Linked DNA regions of Kluyveromyces lactis. The protein of the gene in region 1 binds, or shares a complex with, the protein of each later gene. Links are inferred from orthologs where the notes say so. Each region holds a gene or a part of one and is shown on either strand. Other genes may lie near its edges. The genes, in order: PSE1 and ULP1.

Region 1 (4,371 bases):
GACTCTCCCTTGGGTTCTTTGCTTGTAGAGAAAGATGTTGATGAAAACTACAGGACTGGATCAGCATCTGAGCTAGAAGTTCCTTCTTTATCTATAAATTATTTTTGGAAATCTTTTGATGCCTCTGATAATGAAAGTGCTTCTTCTAGTCAATTATCTTTGGTAGATTTAACACAAACAATAGGTAACTTTAGCTCCCACAAACAGTTACAACAATCGCAACTTCATTTGCAACAACAACATCAACAATATCCTTCACAATCACAGCAACCGATCCCAGAACAGTTTTCTGGAAGAAGAAGCTCCACATTATTACAAAAAAAATTCTTCGAAAATGGAAAACATACCAAATTCCGATTGAAAGTTACCGTCGTGAAGCCTAATAAGGATAATCAAGTTCTAGGCTCTATGAAATTCAAGACTCAGTCCGGAGTAAACTTTGAAAAAGACGTCTTAAATGAGATTGTAGCCAAAGTGAAAGAAACTTATGGAATCGAATCACCGTACTCCATTGAGTACATGGATATCGAGATAAAAACTAATGAAAAATTGCATCAAATTTATGACGAGTTCATTGTTATGCAGGGCTCCCGTCACTATATGCCTTTGCTTTTTATTCTGCATGATAAGCAGTCAGGTGTTTTCCACCACCTACGTCAGTTTTTTAAAACGATGGCAACTCCATTCACCGCAGTGTTTCATACTTCCTCATTGAAGATATACATGCAGGCATGTATAGTCTTCTTCGCTGGTTTTATGGTGGGAAAAGCTTTAAAATGAAACATTCGGGGAAGTTACTGGTTATCCTTGCCATATACCGATGTATATAGATTATACATTTCCACTCATAATTCTTTCTTATTAAATGAATAAACAATTGGCTGCCAAGAAAAAAGAAAAGAAGCACTAGAACATCTATCAGAAATACAAAGCAAATATGGAAATATATTCACATCAATTAACCGTTTCCTTCTTCTGCTATATTAAGAACACTGTCCAATGACAGATGACGACGATCTTGATATTACAGAGAGCACCACTATGTGTTACCCGCATATCACTATGGACGATGCACTATTAGTTTGACCTGCCAAATTTTTCTTCCTTCTCTGTTCCTGTGATTCCAAATTATACATGAAAGAACAATTCGTTCTAAGATCAGATATTTCAGATATATTGAAAATTGAATAGTAGTACATTTTATGTTACAGTTACTGGTTTTTGCTGAAGTTTTAGCATTGAACATAAGTTCGCCTTCGTTGCAATCAGTATATTTTGACGGTAGGAAAATTGAGCTTGTAAGCAATAATCTCTATTGAGGGAGAGAATCGAAAAGCTGATAGCAGTATAGTTTACTTTGTTTGTTCTTTGTTCTTCTACTATCCTTTTCCTTTGAATCATTTTTTGTGGTGGCTGATTCGAAACAATGTCAGTTCTACCGGATGAAGTGAACAGCACCTTGGTGAAGTTGCTACAGGGCTTTGCATCACCAGACAATGCGATTCGTTCGGCGGCAGAAGATGCTTTGAATAACAACTGGATTACACCGGAGCACATCGAAGTTTTGTTGATGTTTCTAGCGGAACAATCTGCATATTCTGATGATTTGACTACTGCAGGTTTGTCTGCAGTTTTGTTCCGTAAGCTAGCTTTGAGAGCGCCACCTTCATCTAAGACTATAATCATTGCCAAAAATATTACCCATATTTCGAAGGAAGCCTTGAAGCAAATTAGAGATACACTTTTGAAGGGTTTTATCTCCCAAAGACCCAACAATATTAGACACAAATTATCTGATGCAATTGCAGAATGTGCGTTAGAAGAATTACCTGAGTGGCCTCCGTTACTCCAAACGTTATTCGAAGCTATCAAAAACACAGATCCAAATTTCAGAGAATCTAGTTTCAGAATTTTCTCAAGTATGCCTCATCTAATCAATTCCATTGACATCAACCATGCTTTGCCTATCTTTGAGAGTGGATTCACGGATCCTAGCGATGAAGTCAAGATTGCAGCTGTTACAGCGTTTGTTGGGTACTTCAAACAGCTTCCAAAGAATAACTGGGCCAAACTAGGTGTTCTATTACCAAGTCTTTTGAACAGTTTGCCAAAGTTTTTGGATGACAGTAAAGATGAGGCCTTGGCCGCCGTATTCGAATCATTGATCGAATTAGTTGAGTTGGCTCCTAAACTCTTCAAAGATATGTTCGATCAAATTATCCAATTTGCAGATATGGTCATCAAGAATAAAGATTTAGAACCGAGTGCCAGAACGACTGCTTTGGAGTTGTTAACTGTCTTCAGTGAATGCGCCCCTCAGATGTGTAAAAATAATCAAAATTACGCCCAATCAGTGGTACTTGATACCCTTGTCATGATGACTGAAGTTTCCATCGATGATGACCAAGCAATCGAATGGCAAAATTCGAATGATGTAGAAGAAGATAATGAGGAAAATACCTACGATATGGCACGTCAAGCTTTGGATCGTGTTGCCTTGAAATTAAACGGAAAATACTTGGCCGCACCTTTATTCCAATTCTTACAACAAATGATCACATCTTCTGAATGGAGAGAGAGGTTCGCAGCATTGATGGCGTTATCATCTGCTGCAGAAGGTTGCCGTGATGTATTAATGATCGAGATAGATAAGATTTTGGAAATGGTTGTTCCACTGATCGATGATCCACATCCAAGAGTTCAATACGGTTGCTGTAATGTATTGGGTCAGATATCCACTGATTTCGCTCCTCTCATTCAAAGCACTTCGCATGAAAAAATTTTGCCTGCTTTAATCTCTAAGCTCACTTCAAGCTCTGTCGACAGAGTTCAGACCCATGCAGCGGCTGCCTTGGTGAACTTCTCCGAACAAGCTACGCAATCGATTATGGAACCTTACTTGGATAGTCTTTTAACTAACTTATTAAGCATGTTGCAAAGTTCCAAGCTGTACGTTCAAGAACAGGCCTTAACTACTATCGCATTTATCGCAGAAGCAGCCGAAAAGAAATTCATCAAATACTATGATACATTAATGCCATTATTGATAAACGTGTTGAGAACCGATACAGGTACTGAAAGCAGAGTCTTGAAGGGTAAGTGTATGGAATGTTCTACTCTTATTGCATTAGCTGTGGGCAAAGAAAAGTTTGCCTCCTACTCTCAAGAATTGATCCAGTTATTCATAACTTATCAAAATGAAGGTATTCAGGACGACGATCCTCTAAAGACTTACCTTGAACAAAGTTGGAGTAGAGTTTGCAGGATTCTTCGTGAGGATTTTGTTCCGTTATTGGATGTAGTTATTCCGCCACTACTTGAAACTGCCAAGGCTACCCAGGACGTTAGTTTAATTGAAGAAGAGGAAGCTGCAAACTACCAACAGTATACAGATTGGGATGTTGTGCAAATTCAAGGTAAGCACATCGCTATTCATACTTCAGTTTTAGATGATAAAGTGACTGCTATGGAGCTTCTACAAGTTTACGCCACTGTGTTGAAAAGTTTCTTTGCATCATACGTTAAGGAAATCCTTACAGAAGTTGCCGTCCCATCTATTGATTTCTACTTACATGATGGTGTTAGAGCTCGTGGTGCTACTTTAATTCCTGCTTTGTTTACCTCTTTGGTATCGGCTGTAGGACAGGACAACGATATCGTTTTACAATTATGGCAAATTGCATCTAATAAGCTAATTTCTGGAATTATTTCTGAACCGATGCCAGAAGTTACTAAGTCGTATCACTATGCTCTTGTTGATTGTTTGGGAATTGTCGGAAACAACGGATTAAATCAAGAGCAATTGTCACAATTTACACAAGGTGTGAACAATAACTTAACCGACGTCTACGAAAGAACAAAATCCCGTTACGATCAGGATGACGAATACAACGAAGATGTTGATGACGATCTTGATGAGTATACCGATGAAGATTTGCTTGACGAGATTAACAAATCTTTAGCTGCTGTTTTCAAATCAGCAGGTGTTTCTTATCTACAGCAGTTCCAGACTTTATGGCCAATAATACATTCATACTTGCAGGAGACTGAGGTATTCATTTTATTGTTCGCCTTGATTGCAATTGCTGATATGATAGAATACACTGGCGATAACTCTGCACCTTTCAAACAGCATTTCGTTCAGAAAATTAAGGAGTGCCTCACATTCCCTGAACCCTCCATTCGCCAGGGTACTGCATACCTACTCGGAGTATGTGCACAATATGCCCCCAACACCTACTCTGACATATGTTTGGGATCGTTGGAAACTTTATTCCAAATCGTCAACATGCCAGAATCCAGATCTGAAGATAACGTTAATTCCTCGGAAAATGCATCTTGCGCCATTGCAAAGATCTTGAGCAGTTACGG
Region 2 (3,715 bases), on another chromosome or scaffold:
GTTTCAGATGCAACGCCTCTAACAACCATAGTGATAATTTTCCTCCAACGATTTCTACAGGTTAAACTTGGCCTAGCATCCATTTCCGTCGATATTTGCCTCCATTTCGTACCATATTTCTTGACCTTCGCTATAAGTAGAAGATCTTCCGTCTCATCCCAAGGTCGTAGTCGGTCTTTAGTACTGGGATCAAGCACTTCGATGTACCTCTTCGCGCATTGGTCTTCAGTTCTATTCTCTAAAACGTAGGAAATCTTAAACCATTGCGGACCATGGTGTTCATATGATTTTAAGAGAAGCTCATCCTCCTCTGGTGTCCATTTACCTTTCTTCAATACAGGATCTAAAGAACTAGTCCATCTCTTTTTCACATCCGTCGCTTTCTTATTATCCAATTCGAATTGCTTGGCAAGCTGATCCCAGGGAATTTTTTTGACAACATTACTAGATTGCTGAATTGTTTTAATAGATTTGATACCATCCGGATATCCCAAATTTACTAACGATTCGTTAACCAATTTTCTAAGCAGATCATCTTCTTCTTTGGTCCATATTTTCCTCATCTTTCTTCTAAACGTTTGATACCCTAAAGATTCTGAAACCTCAAGAGCATTGACTGGTTCCTTCTTAACTCTCTTCCTCAAATTGCTCATATGCTCCTCTGACATATCACCCGAATCGTCACTCACACTGCTAGCTACAGTTCCTTTCTCACTCGACGATTCATTCATATTCCAGTCAAAATAGATACTTGATCCAAGATACTGATTTCTTGATAGAAAAGTCAAAAAATTAGACTGAAATCAAGTTTATTAATTAACACCAATTTTACTACTTCTCAACCAATGTTTTTGAGATTGTTCAAAACTTTATAGCAAGTGTATCTCGATATTTCCGTTATGACTGTTAGTACAATCAATAGATGACGATAACGATAAACTTCTTTTTGTTTCTGTTAATGATATTTTGGGTTGAAAACCAAGTTGTAATTTAATACAGCTCTGAAACTGTCTACACAGCCTTGTATCTGCTGTGATATAGGCGCTGTATTCACCGTTTTCACTTCGCTTGATAGATACCCTGAGAGATACTCTACATAGTTATGATGTCAAATTTGAGTAATCTTAGTCTGGCAAATTTCTTTATTTTCTTTTTCAGGCAGAAGGGCCCTGGCAGAAATTTTGTGCACGTGATAGTATCCGGGTAATGTTTAAATAAGTATACATTTCTCAACATGGATTGCATCTCTGTCGAAAAGCTGCTTTCAATTATCAACAATAATAACTTCAGGAACGAAGAAACGAGGTAATATATGGTAACTTACAGGCTACATGGCAGCTGAAATACTAGTTTTGAGTGTTAGTTTAATTATTGTAACCGAATCATTTGTTAAATTCTAACTTTCACCACTTATATGAAACTGGCGTAGAAATAATGACGGTATCGTATCATCGAAAAGGGTTTGATGACATTAGTGATTATTCCAGATCAACGGTGATAACTGCAGATGTCTCTTCTAAACCATACTATTTCGACCGGAAAGGTATCAAAGATAGTTTAAATTCTGGTAATGAAGCACGTGATAGAGGTAGCGAAAGTAGGTGGAAATCGTTGGGATATAATACTGTCCTTTCAACTCTTTTTGATTCAGCAAAGACATGGTTTTCCTGGATTGATCCTTTGGAGCAAGAAAATGGGAAAGATCGTACCATTTCCAACACTACTGGAGCAAATTACGACAGTTTGAAAAGAGGAGTTGATGAGGAGTCGACTCCGAGAAAGAAAATTCATTTAGACTCACTGCTCCAAGAGAAGGAGCATTTAAGGGAACAGTTACAACATTCAATTACTCCAACGAAAGAAGTGTTGAAGTTACCTAAGGATCCTTTCCATTGGGATAATACTAATGAAGAAAACTATACAGAATCCTCACCTACAAGAGTACAATATGGAACTAGACTCTATAGAAAACTCAAGCATAAGAACCAGCAACAGCAGTCCACTGCATTAATTGCTAAACCGTCCGATGAAGTATCATATTTAAAAAATTTATTCAACGGAGAATATCATGTACCGATTGAGATGCAAAAGGAAAGGGAAAATCAGCTCAAACTTCTTTCAAGAGATAACAGCCACAGCAGCAATGCCAGTACAAACAGTAGTAATAACAACATTGTAAGGCTTACAGAAAGGATTAAGGCTTTAATTTTGGAAAACAGGAAATCAATAGGCCCAAGTACCGAAAGAGGATCTACAACTGATGACATAGTCATAATAAGAGAGCACAAGCTTGATCCATTAGAAGAGAAAAGGAAACAGATCTACAATCAGACGTTGAAATTTGATCGTTCTCTCCTTACTTTTGAAGAAGAGTTCAAAAGCTATTCTCAGTTGATTGAAGAAAGAAGGAAACTAGTAGAGCAAGTGAGGAAAACCGCCAAACCACAAAAACTGATACCTGATCTATCAACTGAAGATTTATCGGAAGTGAAAGCAACTTTCAATAGGTCTGATAACGCTGTTCTTTCATCCAAGTATATGTTGGAAGTAACTGTGCGAGATTTCAAGACATTAGCCCCTAGAAGGTGGTTGAATGACACAATCATTGAGTTTTTCATGAAGTATATCGAACAAAACACTGCCAAAACTGTTGCATTTAACTCATTTTTTTATTCTACTTTAGCTGACAGAGGCTATCAAGGTGTAAGAAGATGGATGAAAAGAAAGAAGGTTGATATTTTAGATCTTAATAAGATCTTCGTTCCTATCAATTTGAATGATTCTCATTGGACATTGGGTATAATAGAAATGAAGCAACACAAAATTTATTATCTTGATTCTCTTTCTTCTGGAATGAATTCGGTCAGTTTCCTAATTATGAAAAATCTCCAGTCTTATGTGATGGAAGAAAGCAAACAAAAGCTTGGTGAGGATTTCGAACTTTGCCATATTGCTTGTCCACAGCAGCCAAACGGATTTGACTGCGGCATATATGTTTGTCTGAATACACTTTATATGAGCAAGGATTACACTTTGAGCTTTGATTCTAAAGATGCAGCAAACATGAGAAATTACATAGGTCATTTAATATTAAGTAAATAGAATTAAACTCTTTTCGTTGACGAATACTAAAATTTGCTATTCTTACCACTTGTTTCAGACTATTTCAAACGTTGAAATGAAATCATCTTGTAGACTTCGCAACTCTTCAATGTCAATTGTTTTTTCATGATTACAAAACGCTTTGAGTTTTTGTACTAAATAATAAACCTGTTTGATTTGGGTAGTTTGACATGCATTATCACAAGAATCTTCCTTTGCAATGATTTTCAAACCTTTTCTTTTGCTAGCTCGAAGTAATTCCGATATTTTGTATGCTTCCAACATAATTCTTTCACTGAAAATTCGTTTACAAATCATCATACCGTATCCTTCTATCTCTTCTGATTCTGTGGAGGCTTTATATTTCATTTTGAGATGTGATTCCTGATCAATCTCAGTTTTCATCTCAAGATGTAAAACACGAGGCTTTGGTGCCAATATTTTAGGAATATCTCTGAAATGTGTCGATAGAAATACAGTAGCATTTTTGGAAAGGAGATATTCCGATATAGCCAAAGCTATAGAGAACCCATCTGCGATGCTTGAGCCACGTCCTAATTCATCTAGGATCATAAGAGTCTTATCTGTTATATCATCAATGAAATATGCCATG

What was found.
Region 2: the proteins of PSE1 (region 1) and ULP1 are in contact, whole or in part, in a crystal structure (PDB 5H2V), measured with the Saccharomyces cerevisiae proteins. The link is inferred for Kluyveromyces lactis from reciprocal best matches to the Saccharomyces cerevisiae genes PSE1 and ULP1. Residues at the interface, in NP_014039.1 of Saccharomyces cerevisiae: Asp346, Arg349, Gln350, Asp353, Leu357, Ser392, Ser393, Glu396, Cys429, Asn430, Gly433, Gln434, His470, Ala473, Ala474, Val476, Asn477; in NP_015305.1 of Saccharomyces cerevisiae: Gly51, Ile52, Tyr53, Lys54, Lys55.

The regions. Positions count from the first base shown.
Region 1 is NC_006039.1:1,223,458-1,227,828, reverse strand, and holds the start of PSE1 (importin PSE1), read left to right. Parts: upstream 1-1,426; coding exon 1,427-4,371. Other genes in the region: KLLA0_C14190g (CBS domain-containing protein), read left to right, coding at 1-780. UniProt on the Saccharomyces cerevisiae protein: Functions in nuclear protein import as nuclear transport receptor. Serves as receptor for classical and arginine/glycine-rich nuclear localization signals (cNLS and rg-NLS) in cargo substrates.
Region 2 is NC_006042.1:1,013,058-1,016,772, forward strand, and holds ULP1 (SUMO protease ULP1), read left to right. Parts: upstream 1-1,434; coding exon 1,435-3,102; downstream 3,103-3,715. Other genes in the region: KLLA0_F10978g (uncharacterized protein), read right to left, coding at 1-731; MutS family protein MSH4, read right to left, coding at 3,157-3,715. UniProt on the Saccharomyces cerevisiae protein: Protease that catalyzes two essential functions in the SUMO pathway: processing of full-length SMT3 to its mature form and deconjugation of SMT3 from targeted proteins. Has an essential role in the G2/M phase of the cell cycle.